3 linked regions of the Macaca fascicularis genome follow. The protein of the gene in region 1 interacts with the protein of each later gene in a biochemical or structural test. Links are inferred from orthologs where the notes say so. Each region holds a gene or a part of one and is shown in the gene's direction. Other genes may lie near its edges.

Region 1 (4,165 bases):
CGTGGTGGCTCACACCTGTAATCCCAGAACTTTGGGAGGCTGAGGCGGGTGGATCACCTGAGGTCAGGAGTTCGAGACCAGCTTGGCCAACGTGGTGAAACCCTGTCTCTACTAAAAATACAAAAATTAGCTGGGCATGTTGGTTCACGCCTGTAGTCCTAACTAGTCGGGAGGCTGAGGCAGGAGAATTGCTTGAACCTGAGAGGTGGAGGTTGCAGTGAGCCGAGATTGCGCCATTGTACTCAAGCCTGGGTGACACACAGAGACTACGTCTCAAAAAAATAATAAATAAATAAAAAGAGGAGTCCACGCTAACGAGTCCACAGCCCTAACAAGTGCTGCGGGCTGGACGTGGGGCAGCGTCCCACCCAGTGTCTGGTGCAGGGCCTTTAGGGGCTTGGCCTCCAGTAGTGGAGAGCACAGGGCTGAGTGCGAGCACTACAGCTAGGCCAGGCCACTCACGTTATGCGGCCGTTCCTGATGCTTCAACACGGTCCTTGTGGGCGAATGTGTGAAATCTCGGAACAAGTGGAGTGGGGACCTGAGCGTCTGCGGTGAAGCCCAGGCTAAGGAAGCCCCTCATCTGCTCACGGTGCCAGGAGGTCTCTGCCTTCTGGTCCTGAGGAGTCGCGAGATTCCTGAGGGATACTAGGGTCTCTGCAGCTGTGCCTGCGCCAAGTAGCCGCGCGAGCCGCGCATGAATTCTGTCTCAACCTGGAGAAAAAAGCCGCGGCTGCGCCCTCGCCCACCACGAGCTTTCCATGGGGCGTGGGCGTGCAAGGGGCTCCTCCTTGTCCCAAAGCCCTGTCCTTCCACGGGAGACACCAAGGCTCTGGAGCGGCCCGCGCGCCGGCGCACTCGCCTATGTTTAACGAGAACTTAATCCCCGTGCCCGTTACCTCCCCGAAGTCCCGGGACTAGATAACAAGGCCCCGAAACGAGAGTCGCAGTAGGACCGACTGGGCCGGGGAGGGCAGCGAACTGCACCTGCGCGAGCTTCCAAAGCCCACGCGGCCGCCGCAGGCCTGCAGTGGGCGCGGGTTGGACAGCGGCGAGAGGCGGGACGGGACCTCGCCTCCTGGGCGCGGGCGCCCTGGGCTCGCGTGGGGGAAGTGCCCTGGCTTACAGAGGTGACGACTCCAGAACCCACGCGGAACGCGCCCACGAGGCCCGGCCGCAAGATGGCGACGCCGTGCCCCCGGCCACCCGCGCGCCGCGCATGCGCCCTGGCCTTCCCCGCCCGAGCGAGCGGAAGTCTCGTGACCCCGGAAGTGACAGGCAGGGCGGGCGGAGCGGCCGACGACGTTCGTCATTTAGTGCGGGAGGGAGCCTGAGCCGCGCGGCCGAACCCTCCGGTGAGTGGCCGTGGCGGGGCGGAGGCGGCGGGCCGGGGCGGGGACCGGCGGCGCCGGCGGAGGCGGGGGGCGCCGGGGTAGGGGCTTCCGCCTTTGTTCGCGCCCCGCCCTGAGCCCCCGGCGGGGTCTCGGCGGGCGGGGGCGCGGTGACAGCGGACCAGGGCGGCGCGGGTCAGGGCGGGGCCGGGGCGGGACCGGGTGGTGGCGGCCCCGGACCCACGTGCGGGACCCGGGCCGGAGGGGCGGCGGGGGCCAGGGGACTGCGAGCCCCGCCCGAGCGCCCCTGAGCTTCTTTCATGGCCGCCGAAGCGCGTGGGGCCCGGGCCAGACCGGAGGACCCCTCCCTGGGGACGCGGGGGGCGCCGGGCCGGCAGCCGCGGTCCATGGCGTTCCGGGGCGACGCGGGGATTGGGGCGCGGCCTCCCCCAGCGCCCGGGCCACGCCCGGCGCGGATTGCGGGCCCTGCGGAAGTGCGGGCCGCGCCCTAGGATCCCGGCGCCTGCGGCCACCCTTGCGCGGCGCAGAGGCCCCAGCGCCTGGAGGAAGCAGGGCGGCCTGGACCCCAGCCTGGGCGTCCCGGGTGGGCTGCTCCCTGATCCACCTCCCACGCTGCCGGGAAGAATCTGAGCCTGACATTCCCGCGCTCGGGTCCCTGCCGGGTCAGTGCTGCCCCGGGCACTCCCGGCTCCCGATCTACAAGAGGGCCCAACGGTACTGAGCGGCTGTGGTAGCTCCCAAGTGTAGGTCACAGACTCTCACAATTGTAGAGAAACCGGAGATACTTAGGATCCCCTGTGCCCCGTTGGCTCCCTGCGGTATTCTGGCTGCCTCTAGCATCCGAGCTCCAGGGGCATCCTGTTTGAAGGATGAGGATGAGGATGAGCCGACCACACAGGTTTACATGTGACTAGCGCGGCCAGAGGAGCATCCCTACTGAGGGATACCCAGCTCCGTTACCCGGTAGGGCAAGGGCCTGGGCAGCTCAGGAGCAGCAAGCCCATAAGAGAGGCTTTAGTGTGGGCCCTGCCAGTTGGGTCTGGGGCCTACTAGCCCCGCCCCACGCATGCCGGGGGCTGCTGCCTCCTCCATCGTGGAGGGGGAGGTGTGCCCTCTCTCCCCAGGACCGGCTGCAGTTCCCATTTTGTCTCAGATGTTATACCTGGCGTGGGGCACCTCACACTGCCCCAGAGGATGCCCCTGAGGAGGAGTTGGGCGGAGGAGAGGAGCGAGGGTGGCCCCCTTGGAGCCCTTTTGGAGCTCTGGCTGCAGTCCACGCTTCTGCTCAGAAAGTGCGCTTCCGTTGGGGATCCAGGTCCAAGGCCTGCCACCGTCCCGCCCACAGGTGTCCTGACCCAGGCTAAGCGTGAGCATGGCTGAGCAGGAGCCCACAGCCGAGCAGCTGGCCCAGATTGCAGCAGAGAACGAGGAAGATGAGCACTCGGTCAACTACAAGCCCCCGGCCCAGAAGAGCATCCAGGAGATCCAGGAGCTGGACAAGGACGACGAGAGCCTGCGAAAGTACAAGGAGGCCCTGCTGGGCCGCGTGGCCGTTTCGGCAGGTGAGTCTGGGCTGCGGGAGCCCGGTGACCACCCGTGCACTCCAGCTGTCTTGCCGCTCCCCAGCCCCTGCTTCCACTGGCGGGGGTGAGGCCCTCACCTCCTGTCACTCCCCAGACCCCAACGTCCCCAACGTCGTCGTGACTGGCCTGACCCTGGTGTGCAGCTCGGCCCCGGGCCCCCTGGAGCTGGACCTGACAGGTGAGCGCCCTGCGGCTGCGGGGGTTCGGGCGGCCCCTGGTGGGGATCTCGGGAAGTGCAGCCAAGGGGCCGCGCAGGGCTGGGGGCGCGGGGCTGCTGGGCAGTCACTGAAGGAGAGGTCCCCCCAACAGGTGACCTGGAGAGCTTCAAGAAGCAGTCGTTTGTGCTGAAAGAGGGTGTAGAGTACCGGATAAAAATCTCTTTCCGGGTAAGCTGTCGGCTGCTGTGGCCAGGGAAGGGAGGCGGGACTGGGGCCGACCTTCCCTGATCTTCGCTTCGGGTCCTGCAGGTTAACAGAGAGATCGTGTCCGGCATGAAGTACATCCAGCACACGTACAGGAAAGGCGTCAAGAGTGAGTGGGGCCCCGGGCAGGGCGGAGGGGGCCGTTTGGGTGCGTGGTGCCCAGCGGGGACGCAGGGCCGCTGACCGCCCTCTTCCTTGTGCCGCAGTTGACAAGACTGACTACATGGTAGGCAGCTATGGGCCCCGGGCCGAGGAGTACGAGTTCCTGACCCCCGTGGAGGAGGCACCCAAGGGTATGCTGGCCCGGGGCAGCTACAGCATCAAGTCCCGCTTCACAGACGACGACAAGACCGACCACCTGTCCTGGGAGTGGAATCTCACCATCAAGAAGGACTGGAAGGACTGAGCCCAGCCAGAAGCAGGCAGGGCAGACGGACGGACGGACGACGGACAGGCGGATGTGTCCCCCCAGCCCCTCCCCTCCCCATACCAAAGTGCTGACAGGCCCTCCGTGCCCCTCCCACCCTGGTCCGCCTCCCTGGCCTGGCTCAACCGAGTGCCTCCGACCCCCCTCCTCAACCCTCCCCCGCCCACAGGCCCAGCCTCCTCGGTGGTCTTGTGTCTCGTTGCTGCTTCTGCCTGTGCTGTGGGGGAGAGAGGCCCCAGCCAGGCCTCTGCTGCCCTTTCCGTGCCCCCCAGGTTCTATCTCCCTGTCACACCTGAGGCCTGGCTTAAGGAAGGAGCGGAGCAGCCATTCTCCAGGCCCCGTGGTTGGCCCTGGACGTGTGCGTTTGCTGCTCCGTGGTGG
Region 2 (3,636 bases), on another chromosome or scaffold:
ACACCTGTAATCCCAGCTCCTCAGGAGGCTGAGGCAGGAGAATCGCTTGATCCCGGGAGGCGGAGGTTGCAGTGAGCCAAGATCGCGCCACTGCACTCCAGCCTGGGTGACAGAGTGAGATTCTGTCTCAAAAAAAAAATAAAATAATAGTAATAATACCACCTCTCCCTCAGAATTGTATGTTGTATCTTAGAAAGGCCTTTCCTACTTAAATAATGCAAAAGTATGCTCTAGTATTTTTTCTAGGTTTTTTGTGGCTAAAATTTTTATCTTTAATCCATTTAGAATTTATTTTTGGTATAGAACGAGGCAAGGACCTGATTCTTTTTCCCTTATAGGGGAAAGAAAGTCACAATACCATTTATCCTATAATCTTTTTTTTTTTTTTTTTTTTTTTTGAGATGGAGTCTCGCTCTGTCACCCAGGCTGGAGTGCAGTGGCCGGATCTCAGCTCACTGCAAGCTCCGCCTCCCGGGTTCACGCCATTCTCCTGCCTCAGCCTCCCGAGTAGCTGGGAGTACAGGTGCCTGCCACCTCACCCGGCTAAGTTTTTGTATTTTTAGTAGAGACGGGGTTTCACCATGTTAGCCAGGATGGTCTGGATCTCCTGACCTCGTGATCCGCCCGCCTCGGCCTCCCAAAGTGCTGGGATTACAGGCTTGAGCCACCACGCCCGGCCTATCCTATAATCTTTTTCTTATGGAAGCATAATTACCATGTCTGTCACTATCACCTTTTCTTTCTTTCTTCTTCCTTTTTTTTTTTTTTTTTTTTTGAGACAAAGTTTTGCTCTTGTTGCCCAGGTTGGAGAGCGATGATGTGATCTTGGCCCACTGCAACCTCTGCCTCCCGGGTTCAAGTGATTCTCTTGCCTCAGCCTCCCAAGTAGCTGGGATTACAAGCACCCGCCACCACGCCCCGGCTAATTTTTGCAGTTTTAGTAGAGACAGGGTTTTCTTCATGTTGGCCAGGCTGGTCTCAAACTCCTGACCTCAGGTGATCCACCCACCTCGGCCTTCCAAAGTGTTAGGATTACAGGCGTGAGCCACCGTGCCCAGCCTCTGCTTTTTATTGTATTTTTCCTTTTCTTTTTTGCCTTCCTGTCCAGAGGAAACACTATTCTTTTCTAAAGCTTGGTTTCTGCTGACCAGTAGCAGTTTTTAACTTGGGTCCGATTTCCTTCTGTCAGCCTGTAGGCTTTGCTGGGTTACCTCTCCTGACTAATTTGTGTAGCAACTTCATGTGAATTTGTTTTTTTTTTTTTTTTTTTTTTTTTTGGGAGACGGAGTCTCGCTGTGTCGCCCAGGCTGGAGTGCAATGGTGTGATCTTGGCTCACTGCAAGCTCCGCCTCCCGGGTTCACGCCATTCTCCTGCCTCAGCCTCCCGAGTAGCTGGGACTACAGGTGTCCGCCGCCACGCCCGGCTAATTTTTTGTATTTTTAGTAGAGACGGGGTTTCACCGTGTTAGCCAGGATGGTCTGGATCTCCTGACCTCGTGATCCGCCCGCCTCGGCCTCCCAAAGTGCTGGGATTACAGGCAAGAGCCACCGTGCCCGGCCAACTTCACATGAATTTAAATATTTGTGTCATCAGGTACACTCACTTTGAAAATGTTATTGGGAGGCTTGTTAAGGCAAGTGTCTTTTGTGTTACTGTTCTACACTCAGGCCTTCTGGAAACCCTGCAGAGGGTAGCTCTAGTGGCCAGCTCTCTTGTTGAAAATGAGTGACATAAGTACATGAAAAACCCAACAAGGAGGATTTGAAAGCGGGGCTAATTTTACACTTACTTCTTCCTGGGATAAAAGTCTTAAACTTTGTTTAAAGTGAAGTGTATGTATTTCTGACAGTGATTTGTTTCACTTAAATAGCTTGTTGTTTGTTTCTTTCATTTTTCTTTCTCAAGTTTTGGGTTGGGTTTGTTTCCCGTGAGTTTTGCCCCTGCCTCCTTCCTCCTCGTGCCTGCAGAGACATTGCTGGTGTGGCATCCTCCAGGCCCGTCCCCACCCTTTTTCTTGGCACACCTTCTCTAGGATGGCCAGGACAGTGACTTAGGTTCCACATCTGTGACTAACCATTTTCATTCCGTTCTACAGCTTTGACAATTACTCTGCCAATGTTATGGTAGATGGAAAACCGGTGAATCTGGGCTTATGGGATACAGCTGGACAAGAAGATTATGACAGATTACGCCCCCTATCCTATCCGCAAACAGTAAGGATTGCAGCTGATTTTTAATGTGTCTTTTTTAGAGTATATAATTCTCGAGCGTTTAATTAGTGCATGTTACCTGTGGACTTGCTTATATTGCCATCATTTGGATATTGAGTAAATAGCAGACGGGGCGGAATTAGTTCCGTATAAACATCCCCCTAGATGGCAGGGGTTTTGTGTTTTGAGCGTTAACAGCTGTTCCATTGTTGGGCATTTTACAGTCTTCCATTTAGCTTCAGAATAACCGTATGAAAGGTGCTTTTTGTTTTGTTTTGTTTTTGCAAATCAGTTTTTAACACCAATTGGTTTGAAGACAAGTTTGCTGTGTGACAGTTTTGTACCGCAGAATCAAATTAAGCAGTTAAGATTCGGGTTTCTTTAAACCAAGTTAGTAACTAATCTTACAGGTTTAATGCATTTTTTCCCACAAAATACATAATTTGTATGGCTATAGAACCTAAATCTATTCAATGTAGATTGAGGTTTTGGTTTTGTAAAATGTATCCACTGTGTCCAATCAGAAAAAAAAGTTTAGTTTTTTTTTCTGTATCAGACAAAAGTGATTTATTTATCAAAGCTAATTAGAGCAGTAGCTGGTGAAAATGGGTACTTAGAAGACATTGTTGTGGTTAAAAGTTACTTTTCTTTAAGCAGTTGTTTTACTTGTGTATCTTTTGCTGATCTTGTTACATGTTTGTTCTTCATTTTTAAAAGTGTCTTTGGAAGCAAAACTTAAATATGCTTGAGATTCCTTGGGTGGATATCCTGTGTGCATGTCCTATCCTAGCTCTGTGACCTCAGGCAGGCCTCTTCCTCTCTCCAGTCTTTGCCTGTGTCCTCGTAGGGTGAGATGAGTACATGTCACGCACCCCTAGCAGTCCTGGGCACACAGCACACACTGCGGGCCAGCCGCTGTCAGAATTCTCCTGCTCCTGAGTGTGCGGGTGGGTCAGCCTAGAGAGCGCTGCTCTCCACGTTGTGCCCAAACGAGTGGCAGTTGTGTGGGTGCTCGGCAAACCTGGATTGGCCGGAGGGATTGGGGTTTGGGGTTGAATTGAGGTGAGGAAGACTTCCTAGAGAAAGGCTGGCTTTGAGCCCCGATTGATGATGAGGCAGCCTGTGGTTTTAGGGGGTATTATGGATGAAATAACTTAGTAGTTAAATCTACTGTATTAACAATCAGTCTATAATCCCCAGACAATTCAAATTCTTCTCAGTACCTTAGGAAACTATACCCAGTGGATGTTTACTGATTCAGATTGTAAATGGATTTAAAAACATACTGACTGGTAGAGTAGGAGTCTCCAGCCCACTGGACACATGTGGAAGGGTGTGGTGTCATTCTGAGAAATGAGAGCCACCCTGCTGTGACTCAGGGGGTACCGGGCAGGGCGCGGCCTTTCTCTAAGGGACGCCTCACAG
Region 3 (3,636 bases), on another chromosome or scaffold:
GAATAATATTTAAAGTTAGAACTTTTAAACTCTCTTAAAAATTTATTTTCCTTTCCTGTTCAACTCATTGGAATAAGAAAAGAGATTTGATTTAGTGATCTATACACTTAAGGACTTAAATTCATGTTATTTATCTCCCAATATTACTTATCTTCATGCCGTAGGAAGTGATATATACCAGTAACTCACATTTTTTCAATAATTCATATAATTCACATCAAAATTCCTATTTTTGAGTCAGTAAATACTGTTTTCAATCTTAATTTCTTGGATTTACTTATTAGTTTAGGTAAGTAAAAACCTAATGGAAGTGTTAAAAATGTATTATAGATTTCTGAAACATGGCAATTTGTTTACTGAGATCAAAACTTTAGATGGAGAGATTATTTCTTAAAAATAAAATAAAGTTAATGCTTGTAGCCTTTTTACATAACTTGAATTGCAAAAGATTTTCATGTCTCTTTAAAAATTATTAGGCTTTTGCCAAGTTAGAAATGAAATATAGTGCCTGTAGTCCTAGCTACTAGGGAGGCTGAGGTGGGAGGATTGCTTGAGCCCATGAGTTAGAGGCTGCATTGAGCTATGATTGTGCCACTGCACTCCAGCCTGGGCAACAGAGCGAGACCCTGTCTCAAGAAAACAAAGAGGTATATACGTATTTACATGTGTGCTAATTTTTAGAAACTGAACAGATTTGATTTCTTGCTACTATTTTAGCTTCTTTTGATAATGAGAATGTTTGGAATTAATCACTGTTGGGGGAAATACACATATTTCACAGAACTAGAAGAACAGACTCGAAAAGCTCTAGAACTGGATCAAGAACGAAAACGAGCAAAAGAAGAAGCAGAACGGCTTGAAAAAGAGCGTCGAGCTGCTGAAGAGGCGAAGTCTGCCATAGCAAAACAAGCTGCCGACCAGATGAAGAATCAGGAGCAGCTAGTAAGGAACTGTCTTCTTAGAGAAAAAAGTTTAAATAAAAGCATAGAGTGAACCCTCTAAAAAGAAAAAACAAAAAGCAACCATTTTGTGCTTTCTGGAAAGCAAGCCAAAGATAACATGTAACTTAGTAACAAAGTGTGGACAAAAACCTAAAACTTTTATTTCTGCCTAAACAAAAACCTAAAAATACAAAAGAATAAGATTTTTTTTTTTTTTTTTTTTTTTTTTTGAGACGGAGTCTCGCTCTGTCGCCCAGGCTGGAGTGCAGTGGCCAGATCTCAGCTCACTGCAAGCTCCGCCTCCCAGGTTCACGCCATTCTCCTGCCTCAGCCTCCCGAGTAGCTGGGACTACAGGCGCCCGCCACCTCGCCCGGCTAGGTTTTTTTTTTTTTTTTTTTTTTTTTGGTATTTTTTAGTAGAGACGGGGTTTCACCGTGTTAGCCAGGATGGTCTTGATCTCCTGACCTCGTGATCCGCCCATCTGGGCCTCCCAAAGTGCTGGGATTACAGGCTTGAGCCACCGCGCCCGGCCTATATTTTTCTATAGATTATTTGTAAATGGAGTCTCTTGTCAGCAAAAGGTTCTGATTCACTTTGACATTGGACAGGTTCCACAGTAAGTCAGTTGGCATCTTTTGCTTTAGATACATTAATATGTTATAGTTCCTATGAGATAACTATAGGCCATAATTGGTTGGAGTTTTTTGTTTATTTAGTGGACTTGCAAATAACGAGGTATAAGCATGTTACTTAAAAGATCCTGGATTTAAATATTAGTTCACACATGCTACTTGCTATGTATGTGTCTTTGGCTCTTTCTGAGCCTCAGTTCCTTCCCTTTGAAAAGAGGAATGATGGCTGGGCACAGTGGCTCACGACTGTAATCTCAGCATTTTGGGAGGCCGAGGCAAGCAGATCACCTGAGGTCAGGAGTTCAAGACCACCCTGACCAACATGGCAAAACCCTGTCTCTACTAAAAATACAAAATTAGCCAGGCATAGTGGTGCACACCTGTAATCCTAGCTACTTTGGGAGGCTGAGGCAGGAGTATTGCCTGAACCCGGCAGGCGGAGTTTGCGGTGAGCTGAGATCGTGCCACTGAGCTCCAGCCTGGGCGACAGAGCGACACTCCGTCTGAAAAAAAAAAAAAAAAAAAGAAAAAAGGAATGATACTACCTGTTAGGATTATTGGGGAATTACATGAGATGATTTGACAAAGTGCCATTTAAAGTATATAGCATTATATAAATATATTTTCTCTTTTGTAGACTTTAACAAATAGTTTATTGATGAAAGTTTTCTTTAAAAACCTTTTAAGTTACACATTTTAAGTTCCTGCTACTGAAAGCAGGATTAACTGCTTGTCTGTAGAATAATAGTAATCTTTTAATTTTGTCTCCTCCTTAGCTCATTACTTCAAGGACTTATTGTAAATAAGCTATTTAAGATCTTAAGAAATACTGTATTTTTTTAAATGGAAGACTATCTAAGAAAAACATAAACAGCCTAAGCATGTACATTAAAGCTTTGTTGACTTATAAGATTATTCAAAATATGTTAATCTTGGAATTATATTGTTTACTTTAGGCAGCAGAACTTGCTGAATTCACTGCCAAGATTGCACTTCTAGAAGAAGCCAAGAAGAAAAAGGAAGAGGAAGCTACTGAATGGCAACACAAAGTAATCATTTGTTCATTTACTAGCTTTTATTGAATAGCTTTTGTACCCAGGATTATGCTGACTTTATAGAGATGAATATAAGTTACTGTCATAATTTAGAGTGGGAAAAATACTTGTGTATGTGTATTGTAAATATTTATCTACGGATATAAACCAAGTACTTTGAGAACACAGAAGAGGTGATTAATTTCTGTGGGGTCCAGAGAGTTGTTGGGAGACCCATATACATTTAAGCTGGGTCTTGAATAATGAATTAAATTTTGGGGGTACGAAAGATTGGGACGTAAGATTGGGAATAGTTAGAGACTGAAGAGGTGGTCATTCCAGACAGAGGGAACTGAATGACTATAGGAAGTATGAATGTATGTAAATAGATTTGAGGATAACCAATAAGCAGCCGAAGCTTTCGTGTTGTTCAGAAATGTTGGAAGATGTGGCCCTCAAGTTAGATAATAGGGAATTGTGAAGGGCTTTAAATAAATGCTCTGCTACAGCAAGGCAGTGGGAGTATCGATTGACTTGGGGCTTAGAAGATTTCAAAACAGGATTGTAACATGATCAGATATGATTTTCTAAAAACCATGTAGTGATCAGTGTGAAGAAAGGATTGGGATAGTGGATACTTAAGAGATAAAGACCCAAACTGAGGATGTGGAAATGAGAATAAAGAGGAATGGGAAGAGATAAGAGACATTTTGTGGTAGACACAAAAGGGCGTGGCAACCAGTGATTGGATATGAAGTTGAATTATTTTTATTTATTTTTTATTTTTTTATTTTTTATTTTTTTGAGACGGAGTCTTTGCTCTGTCACCCAGGCTGGGGTGCAGTGGCGCGAACTCGGCTCACTACAAGCTCTGCCTCCTGGGTTTACGCCATTCTCCAGCCTCAGCCTCCTGAGTAGCTGGGACTACAGGCGCCCGCCACCTCGTCCGGCTAGTTTTTTTTGTACTTTTAGTAGAGACGGGGTTTCACCGTGTTAGCCAGGATGGTCTCGATCTCTTGACCTTGTGA

What was found.
Region 2: the proteins of ARHGDIA (region 1) and RAC1 are reported together in a solved structure, tested with the Homo sapiens proteins (2 studies listed by BioGRID and IntAct, with this or other methods). The link is inferred for Macaca fascicularis from reciprocal best matches to the Homo sapiens genes ARHGDIA and RAC1.
Region 3: the proteins of ARHGDIA (region 1) and RDX form a complex in vitro, tested with the Homo sapiens proteins (2 studies listed by BioGRID and IntAct). The link is inferred for Macaca fascicularis from reciprocal best matches to the Homo sapiens genes ARHGDIA and RDX.

The regions. Positions count from the first base shown.
Region 1 is NC_088390.1:88,245,524-88,249,688, reverse strand, and holds the start of ARHGDIA (rho GDP-dissociation inhibitor 1), read left to right. Parts: upstream 1-1,315; 5' UTR 1,316-1,432; intron 1,433-1,821; exon of another isoform or gene 1,822-2,095; intron 2,096-2,697; 5' UTR 2,698-2,724; coding exon 2,725-2,914; intron 2,915-3,029; coding exon 3,030-3,113; intron 3,114-3,244; coding exon 3,245-3,321; intron 3,322-3,402; coding exon 3,403-3,466; intron 3,467-3,563; coding exon 3,564-3,763; 3' UTR 3,764-4,165. UniProt on the Homo sapiens protein: Controls Rho proteins homeostasis. Regulates the GDP/GTP exchange reaction of the Rho proteins by inhibiting the dissociation of GDP from them, and the subsequent binding of GTP to them.
Region 2 is NC_088377.1:45,974,592-45,978,227, reverse strand, and holds part of RAC1 (ras-related C3 botulinum toxin substrate 1), read left to right. Parts: intron 1-2,096; coding exon 2,097-2,214; intron 2,215-3,636. UniProt on the Homo sapiens protein: Plasma membrane-associated small GTPase which cycles between active GTP-bound and inactive GDP-bound states.
Region 3 is NC_088388.1:109,175,715-109,179,350, reverse strand, and holds part of RDX (radixin), read left to right. Parts: intron 1-781; coding exon 782-942; intron 943-2,530; coding exon 2,531-2,623; intron 2,624-3,636. UniProt on the Homo sapiens protein: Probably plays a crucial role in the binding of the barbed end of actin filaments to the plasma membrane.